2 linked regions of the Rattus norvegicus genome follow. The protein of the gene in region 2 purifies or fractionates together with the protein of the main gene of each other region. This does not show direct contact. Links are inferred from orthologs where the notes say so. Each region holds a gene or a part of one and is shown on either strand. Other genes may lie near its edges.

Region 1 (4,019 bases), on a different chromosome or scaffold from region 2:
AGGCACTGAGGTTTTTCCTGGGCTGACCCTCATCCTTTCCTGCTTTGCACAGCAACTCGGATTCTCTTGTGCTGCTTCCATGGTGTCTCCCATCACTTTCCCCATTTGCAGATTACTCAGGGCCCGTGTGAAGAGAATCACGGTTAATGTTCTGAACCTCTTCCTCGAGACAGCCTTAGAATAATCCAGAGTACAGCTTGTCTGTACCGGTTCTCTGACCCCACCATGACAACTCTTTAGGTGGTTAGGCTTGAGTTTCTCATGAGCCTGTGAGGTGGAAAAAGTAGGTTATTCTGGAAGGAGGAGGGGGGTTGTCATGGCTTCCCCATTCAGTCTAGCTAGCTTTATGCTCTCATGAGGTCGTGTTATGTTGGAATATTTGACGTTTGCTTTGTCTGCCTGCTGTGCAAAAACAGAGACCCACTGCCAAACATTTCTTTCAGCTTCAAACTCTACAGAGTGAGAACTCAAGCCTCAGGAGACAGGCCACAGCCAGTGCCTGTCAGGTCCAGACTGCCTCTGACCACAAAGACACTGTGAGCCACTCCTCCCTGAAGCGCCGGCCATCAGCCCGGGGCAGTAGACCCATGTCCATGTATGAGACTGGATCAGGCCAGAAACCATACCTCCCAATGGGAGAAGCCAACCACCCTGAAGAAAGCCGGACAAGACTTCAGCCCTTCCCCACTCATGTAAGTAGCACCAGTGTATGTCCATTCTGCTGTGCAGTGTGACTGTTCTCCCTCTTCTGCCCCTGCAGATCTCTGGGCGCTGAGAGGGCCCCTGTGTGTGCTGAACGGATGTCTGCAGGTGCATCTGGTCACACAGGGCTTGAGACAACCTCTGTTGGCATTTTTTCTGTAATGCTTCCTTCCTAGGTTCTACAAACGAAAGCCAATTGTAAAGGTTACTAACAGAAATGTCTGTCTTCATAAAGGCAGAGGTTGGGGCTGGAGACGTGGCTCGGGGCTTAAGCACACTGGCTGCTCTTGCTGAGGACTTGGGTTAAGGTCCCAGCACCCACGAGGCACACAGCCCACTCCCAACCAGCTGTGACTCCAGCTTTAGGGGATTTGACATTTCCTCTGGCCTCCAGGGCTCTGCATGTACATGGCACACATACAAGCAGGCAGAACATCATCCATAAAATAATCTTTTGAAAAACAACCAGGTAGGCAGAGACATGCCCCCTGTATGAACTGGAACTCTTGGGCCCCAGGGTGCTCTTTTGGGCCTGTGACTGGATACATGGAGCTGAGACAGTCTTGGCTTCGGCATCCTGGTTACGGACCTCAGCATAGGCTAGTAGTATGGCTTGGTTATCTCCTAAAGATGCAGGGTAAGCAAGCATTAAACCAGCACACTCAGGAAGCTGAAGCAGGAGGATTGTCTGGACCACATCAGATCTTATCTCCAAAATATCATTAACAAACAAAGAAGGGAATGTGTAAATAACTGATGGTGGACGTCGCTCACAAGCATCATCCGCTCACAAGCCTCGGTTCCTAAGGCTGCTCTGTGGCAGGCTCTCGACGACACCGTGGTGCACATGGGGATGCCAGGTTTTCAAACATTGAACTCCTCTGTCTTCTGGACTGACTTACTGTGAAGATGTCTGTCTCCACAGCGTGCTCCAGGCATAAACTGCCCTTCATAGTTCTTCCTTCAGAGTGTGGTGTCACCCTTTGCAGTGTCAAACTGGTTTCTTGCAAGTACATAGAGCACTTGACTAAGAGTCTAGGGCACTGTGAAGTACATGCTAAGCTCTCAGGAAGTAACCAGTTCTGATTTTGCGAGACTTTAGCATGGTAAAACTGCAGCACTGTGTGCACCCAGGAGTCACAGCCTCTCTTTATTTGGGTTTAACGCTTGAAGACCAACCATTGACCTGGTCTATTGGCCACTGAACTGAGTGAAAAGGAACCTGACTTTTATATAACTGAACGTAAATGAAGGCGACCTCCCTGGCAGCGTAAGCAGTGTATGTGATCCTAGAGAAAGTGCGGCTGTGGTTGTGCTGCCCCGTCTGTCCTGAGGACTGGGGTGATCGTATGCCCCAATTCAGAGTCATCCATAGCACTATGTGGTGTTTCCTTCTCGACGGGAGAGCAAGCGTCATTGCAGGCATTAACAGTGTGTGCTGCCAGTTTGAAGCCATGCCAAGTGTAGCGAGACGGCTGTGGTATCTTTTCCTTAAGGACAAGTGGCCTCCTAAGTGCAAAGTGGTTTCCAGCAGGCTCTTGCCTCATTAGAGATTACTGTGCCAGGGCTGTCACTGAGCTCCTGCGTGTGTGCGTGGGACTGTGTGAGCTGTAGGGTGGGAAGTGGGGACGTGTTTGTTTTATGTTTTCCCAAGCTTGTTTCTTTCTCCACTTCCAGATTGGGAGGAGTGCACTTGTGACCTCCTCTTCGTCTCTGCCTTCCTTCCCCTCCACACTTTCCTGGTCCAGGGACGAAAGCACCCGAAGGGTTAAGTACACTCTGACCGGTTTGCCCTGGAGGAGGGGCAGTGCTCCTTGGTGCTTTGTGCTTGGGAGCTGGCCCTTGTGCCCCGGCCCTTGCTAACAGCCCCCTGTCCTGCATGAAGCAGCGCTTTGCTCCTGGTTTCTCACAGCAGCAGGCACGTGCAGCCATGCACCTCTGACCTGGAGAAAGCTGGCCGGCTTCCACACTGTGCGCCTCCACACTGTGTGCCTCCACACTGTGCGCCTCCACACTGTGTGCCTCCACACTGCCTCTTCTCACCTATTTAACCAGCTCACAGATCATGTAGAGCGCACGTTCTAAGCGCACTGTCTCCTTAAGCAAATGAAACTTTAGCTAGCTACTGGTCACATGTGATAGGGCAGTCCACCCAGTTATTAAATTTAAAGTGTATTTGGGTCAGCACAAAAGTGTCACGGCTTTTTTTTAACTGCTGACTTACTTTATGTTAGCGCCATCATATCAAACAAGTCCCGGCCAGGCTCAGTTGTCCTGGTGTGCTCACAGAACAGAGGGGAGATGGCTACAGGCTTACAGCTCTCCACTTGAAGTAGTAGGCCAGACCCTTCTGCTGGTGTGGGACTCACACTTCAGTGGCCTCCCTGGCACCCACCTTTAAGAAAGGCCGCTAAAGGGTATAAAAGACTTAAGTGACATGGTCCCTGTTCCCAAAGGGACATTGTGTAAAAAGAAAAATGTTTTCATGTGCACAGAGAGCAGGCTGGTTTCCTCCTGTGGAAGACTGGGAGGGCCTGAGAGTCGGAGGCTGACCCTTCATATTCCAACTCAGTCTGTCTGTAGCAAGGGTAAAAAGAAGGAAGGGACCTGCGAGCAAGAGACCACCTTCCCCAGCAAGCCTCCATGTAGCCGCCACCCCTCAGAGTGCTGAGGACCCCTGTCCACTGCTAGGGCCACTGGCTACCCAGGTCTCTTTGCTTGGTACTTACAGTGTTTTGAGTAGCCCTGTAAGAGCACTGTAGCCTTTTGTTACAATGCCAGTTAAAGAACAGCAGGGTAATAAGGGACCCCCCCATTTTGTCAGTAATTATGTTAATGAGAGTCAGGTAGGCCCAGGTGACTCACCATAAAATTTTGTAGTTTCTCTGATTTGTGGCGTTTTGGTAGCTTTGAGAGGGACCAGCCGCTGAAGTGGTTCTGTGCACACTGAGCAGTGACGTCATCCAGGACCATGTGCGCCTGGCAGCGCTGCCCTGGTCAGGTTTCTGTGGTTTGTCTGTGCAGAAAGATGGCATGTTGTTCAGTAACTGACCCCACGCCGGCTACAGGGAACCTGTCTGTTAACAGCTCGAGAGAGCAGCACTTGAGCTCTCCTGGCTCTGCATGCTCACTGTAACTCTCACAGACTTACATGCTGGCTGCACTGAACCCATATGCTTTGACGGAGGAGGACTTAGTCCGTAAGTAATTTTGCACTGCACTTGAAGAGCGTTTCCTGAACGCTATTAGTGGGTGTGTCTCCCTCTTCTGAGATTTTCAAACAGACATTGGCACTTCTGGTCACTCTGGTAATGTAT
Region 2 (4,019 bases):
AATAAATCCCAACCGAAAGTTTTATATATACTGTTTTTTAAATAGTAATTTACTCCTTTTCCAAACTCCTAGGAGCTATTAATTTTTAAATTAACTCATTAACATTTATTCATTTGTTGCATACCAGACTGTATGCTGAGTGCTACAAGTAAAGAGAAAAAGATGAGGCACATTTAAGACAGTCACTACTCTCAAAAGCTCAATCTAAGGAAAAGAGGAGCAAATGGAAGGTGCTGCAAAAATACAGGATTGCTGTGGTCAGTGCTGAAGGGATAGGGAATGGCAAAAGGCACAGACAGAGACTGAACAGCTTCAGAAAGGCGCTGCCTGGACTGATTTTGATTTTAAGTATAAGTTAGCCAGGTTAAGAAAGCCAAGAGAACTCTGTAGCAGGGGGCACTTTAAATAAAAAACGCAGAAGTATGAGAGAGCCCACGGGTCTCACAGTGGGATTCTAGGGCAGGGAACTGAAACCCACAGAGGGAAGATACTTCTCCAAACTCATACATTAACTGGTGCCAAGGCTGGTTCTTAATCTCTCAGCCCAGTAGCTTTTCCACTGATACCCCAACCACTAGGATTTGGTGCTTCTCACATATGGTATTATATCTTTTGATTTAAAACAAATCAAGTGTAAGTATCACTATTTAAAAGATGTGAAGAGGAAAGGAGACTCGAAGGACAGCAGGAAGTTGTCCAGGCCAGACTGCTTTGTATAATGCCTTATATTATTATTTAGGGATCAGGAGTACACATGATTACACAGATGCCGAGGAGTGGCTTTTACCTCATTGTGAGGGCCCTAGCAAGGGCAATTCTTAAGACAATAAACTGAACAAACAAAAGGGTTAAACAAGAATTATTAAAAAGAACAGGAAGCTGCCAAACTAGACCACAAAGCTCTGCTTTAGAAAGCAACGTGAGCATACAAACTTGATCAAACCAGTACATCAAATCCTTTTTCAATGATTTCCCAGGCCACAAAAAAATAAATAAATAAAATAGAAAATAAAAATCAACCTACACGTACTATAATAGGTGATATGTTCTATTTATAACACATCTTGATCTGACCTTTGCAGCTCTATGATCTGGAGCAGGGTATAGAATCTTTGGGTCTTAAAAACCTTAACTGCATAAATGAAGATTATCCTGAGTATCTTCTCAGAGTAACTTCAATACAATTTAAAAAGTCAAGAAACTATCTTGCTTGTCATTTCCACACAGAACAGGCTCATAAAACATTGGTTTCCCCCCTTCCTTCTTTTTCTATAACTATGATGGCAGAATTGTCCTCTCCTAGGTCAATAGCAAGCATCAACAAGAGCACCCTTTCCACCAGGAAGAGTCGATACCTCGATCTTTCTCCATACAATACTCTAGACTACTCACAAAATAACAGCTATTGGTTATGTCCGTAACACTCAACGTGAGCTGCCCACATTCTCTATTGTCTCTATCCTACAATATACACACCCAGAGCTGGTGAACACAGACAGGGTGAAAGTTCAGATGATGAGCAAGCCTTACAGCCTATAGGTCAGGAGTTACAGAGCCAGCCAGGCACATGGCTAAAACCTAGGAGCCAGATCTTTATTGCAGCATTCCATTTCAATGATTAATCAGTCACAGACGGAGTGAAGATTCAAGAAAGCTATAAAGTGCTTACGTAATTTCTCTAAGATCTCCTCATCAGACATTTTAGGCTTCTTCTTCTGCTTTTCAGTATTCCGGGTCAAAGCATCTGGCGGAGTGGTGTTATTCTCAGTAGGAGAAATAGGAGATGTAGCCACATCCCGAGTTGGAGTAACAGGAAGTGGTTCAATCACAGACCGTGTATATACCTGCATAATCAGTGGAAATTTTGGCAAAGCAGCCTTTGTTAGCATAGTGGAACCTCTTCTGAATGTTCTAGTTAGAACATCCCAGGAACCTTCCCCCTTCCCCAGTTACCCTTTCTCTTATATGTCAAAATCTGCATTAGTCCTCTTCTGAGCCACAGCCCATTTGTCCTGGGTAAAACAACCTTCCTTTGCTCTCACTTTACAAGAAGGGTTAGTGATAGCCTTAGCACTGAAATCACTCCAAAATGGCTAGACGATGCTCAGTAAAAATTTGGAGATTTTATCATTAGATGGAAACCTTCCTCACCCAGAGTATCGACTCTGTTTTTTCTGAGATGAATCTTGTGTGTACCTGACACTTTGCAACACTTGACATTGCTTTCTATGGAGTTATTCCCTCTTGAACTGTTGAGCTCTTACCATGAACTAACTACTCTTATTCATCAAGAGGCAGAAGGGTACAATAATTTAAAACAAACTTGGAAACCTGATGGCCCAGGTTTAATTCTCAGCTTCATTACTATCTGAATGACTTCTACCAGTTTACTTCATTTCTCTGTGCTTCAGTTTCCTTGTCTATATAAAACAGTGACACCCACCTTATTTAATAATAAATCAACATGTGAGAATGACATGGCCACGAGCAGCAGATATTAGCATTCAAACCTCAGCTTTTAGAGACATTCTATTTCCTATCCATTTGTTTGTTTAACAAATATTTGCTGAGAATTTATGGTACGTCTAGCTCTGTACAAAACACTGCTTTACTCACGCTGAAAAAGGAAGTGTGAAAGTAATTGTTACAAAAGCAAAGGAGAGATGTTATTAAGAAAGGAGAAACTCTATACTACCAAGGTAAAGAAGAAAGTATTCCCAGGTTACACTCCCTTTTCTAGAAGATGTGTATTTGTCAGATTTTTATCATTAAAAATTCATAATTATTTTTTGATTATTTACAGGGTCTACTGAGACAGCACACATTACTCTTCCCTGAATCCTCTAACTAACTCCAGCCTAATAAAAAGCAGGCATTTGGGTATTTAAACAGAATCAATTAACAAATGGACCTATCAGATGTTTCAACAGGACTGGCTTTCTGACTTCCCTAGCAAAATAATGTCTCAATTTTTATTCCTATTCATGTAGAACAATTATATTCCAGATACTTAAACATTTTTGCTTCTCCACCTATAGTCCCTTGAGGAAAGATGACCTGTCTGTTCCCTCTAAAACATTCTCCTTAACTGGTTCCCAGTGCATGTCTATACACACAAAACTATATGTGGTATGTGCACTATCATGGAATGTAATCTGGACTTGGATTTAATTATCTGCTCTTAAACCCTGACATTTGCTTACTAAGTGATTATGACTAGATCAAATTACTTATCCAAACCTCGTCTGCTTCTATAAATTAGGACTTAGCAATATTTATTTCAGAGATGAATGTTAAGAAAAGCACATTTATCAATATAGTATTCAATATTTACTGCCCTCTCTCTCTGATCTTTCTGCCCAAACTATATTAAGTACCAAAAAGATAAATAACACATAGATAAGTGAGTGATAGATACATTGATAGGTAAGTAGATTTTTCTCTACTTTAGAGAGAAGACTGTGTTAAATAAGTAGGCCTGCAAACCAATGCCATACAGAAACACAAACAGGACACTCAAGGGAGACAGTGACATCTCACTGATTCAGCAGGCTACTTTCCTTAAGGTAACTTTGTGACCTACAGACAAGGAAATCCATATTCTATTTATAAGTTCTTAGGCTAAGAGATAGGCCATCTAAATGGATTTCTTCCACAGCACCTCACATGAGTCATTTAATCAGCACTGAGCTTAAGTCCTAGATGTTCTGTCATTATGGAGTTCTCATAATAAAAAGCCAAAGCAAACATGAGTAGTGTTTCAGAGTATCATCGGATGGCGATCACTGTTCAATGATGCTAAATCAAAAGGCAAAGCTGCAGACTGGGAAAAGTGCAGAAGGAGGGAAGTGTGGCTATTCTAAAATGTGGGCACCTCAAAGGAAGTTAAAAGAGAAATCACTACCAGTATCCGGCACTCTTAATGTCCAGCATATTAATAGCACTAATGTATATTTATAAACTCTCTCAGGTCTTTCAGGATTATCAAAGATGCTGGAGAGGCTGGCCACTGCATATTC

What was found. The genes of interacting proteins can lie anywhere in the genome.
Region 1: the proteins of Pak1 (region 2) and Git2 purify together in Homo sapiens (affinity purification with mass spectrometry; 5 studies listed by BioGRID and IntAct, with this or other methods). This does not show direct contact. The link is inferred for Rattus norvegicus from reciprocal best matches to the Homo sapiens genes PAK1 and GIT2.

Annotation. Positions count from the first base shown.
Region 1 is NC_086030.1:47,521,040-47,525,058, forward strand, and holds part of Git2 (ARF GTPase-activating protein GIT2), read left to right. Parts: intron 1-443; coding exon 444-692; intron 693-2,379; coding exon 2,380-2,469; intron 2,470-4,019. UniProt on the Homo sapiens protein: GTPase-activating protein for ADP ribosylation factor family members, including ARF1.
Region 2 is NC_086019.1:161,612,590-161,616,608, reverse strand, and holds part of Pak1 (serine/threonine-protein kinase PAK 1), read right to left. Parts: intron 1,845-4,019; coding exon 1,670-1,844; intron 1-1,669. UniProt on the Homo sapiens protein: Protein kinase involved in intracellular signaling pathways downstream of integrins and receptor-type kinases that plays an important role in cytoskeleton dynamics, in cell adhesion, migration, proliferation, apoptosis, mitosis, and in vesicle-mediated transport processes.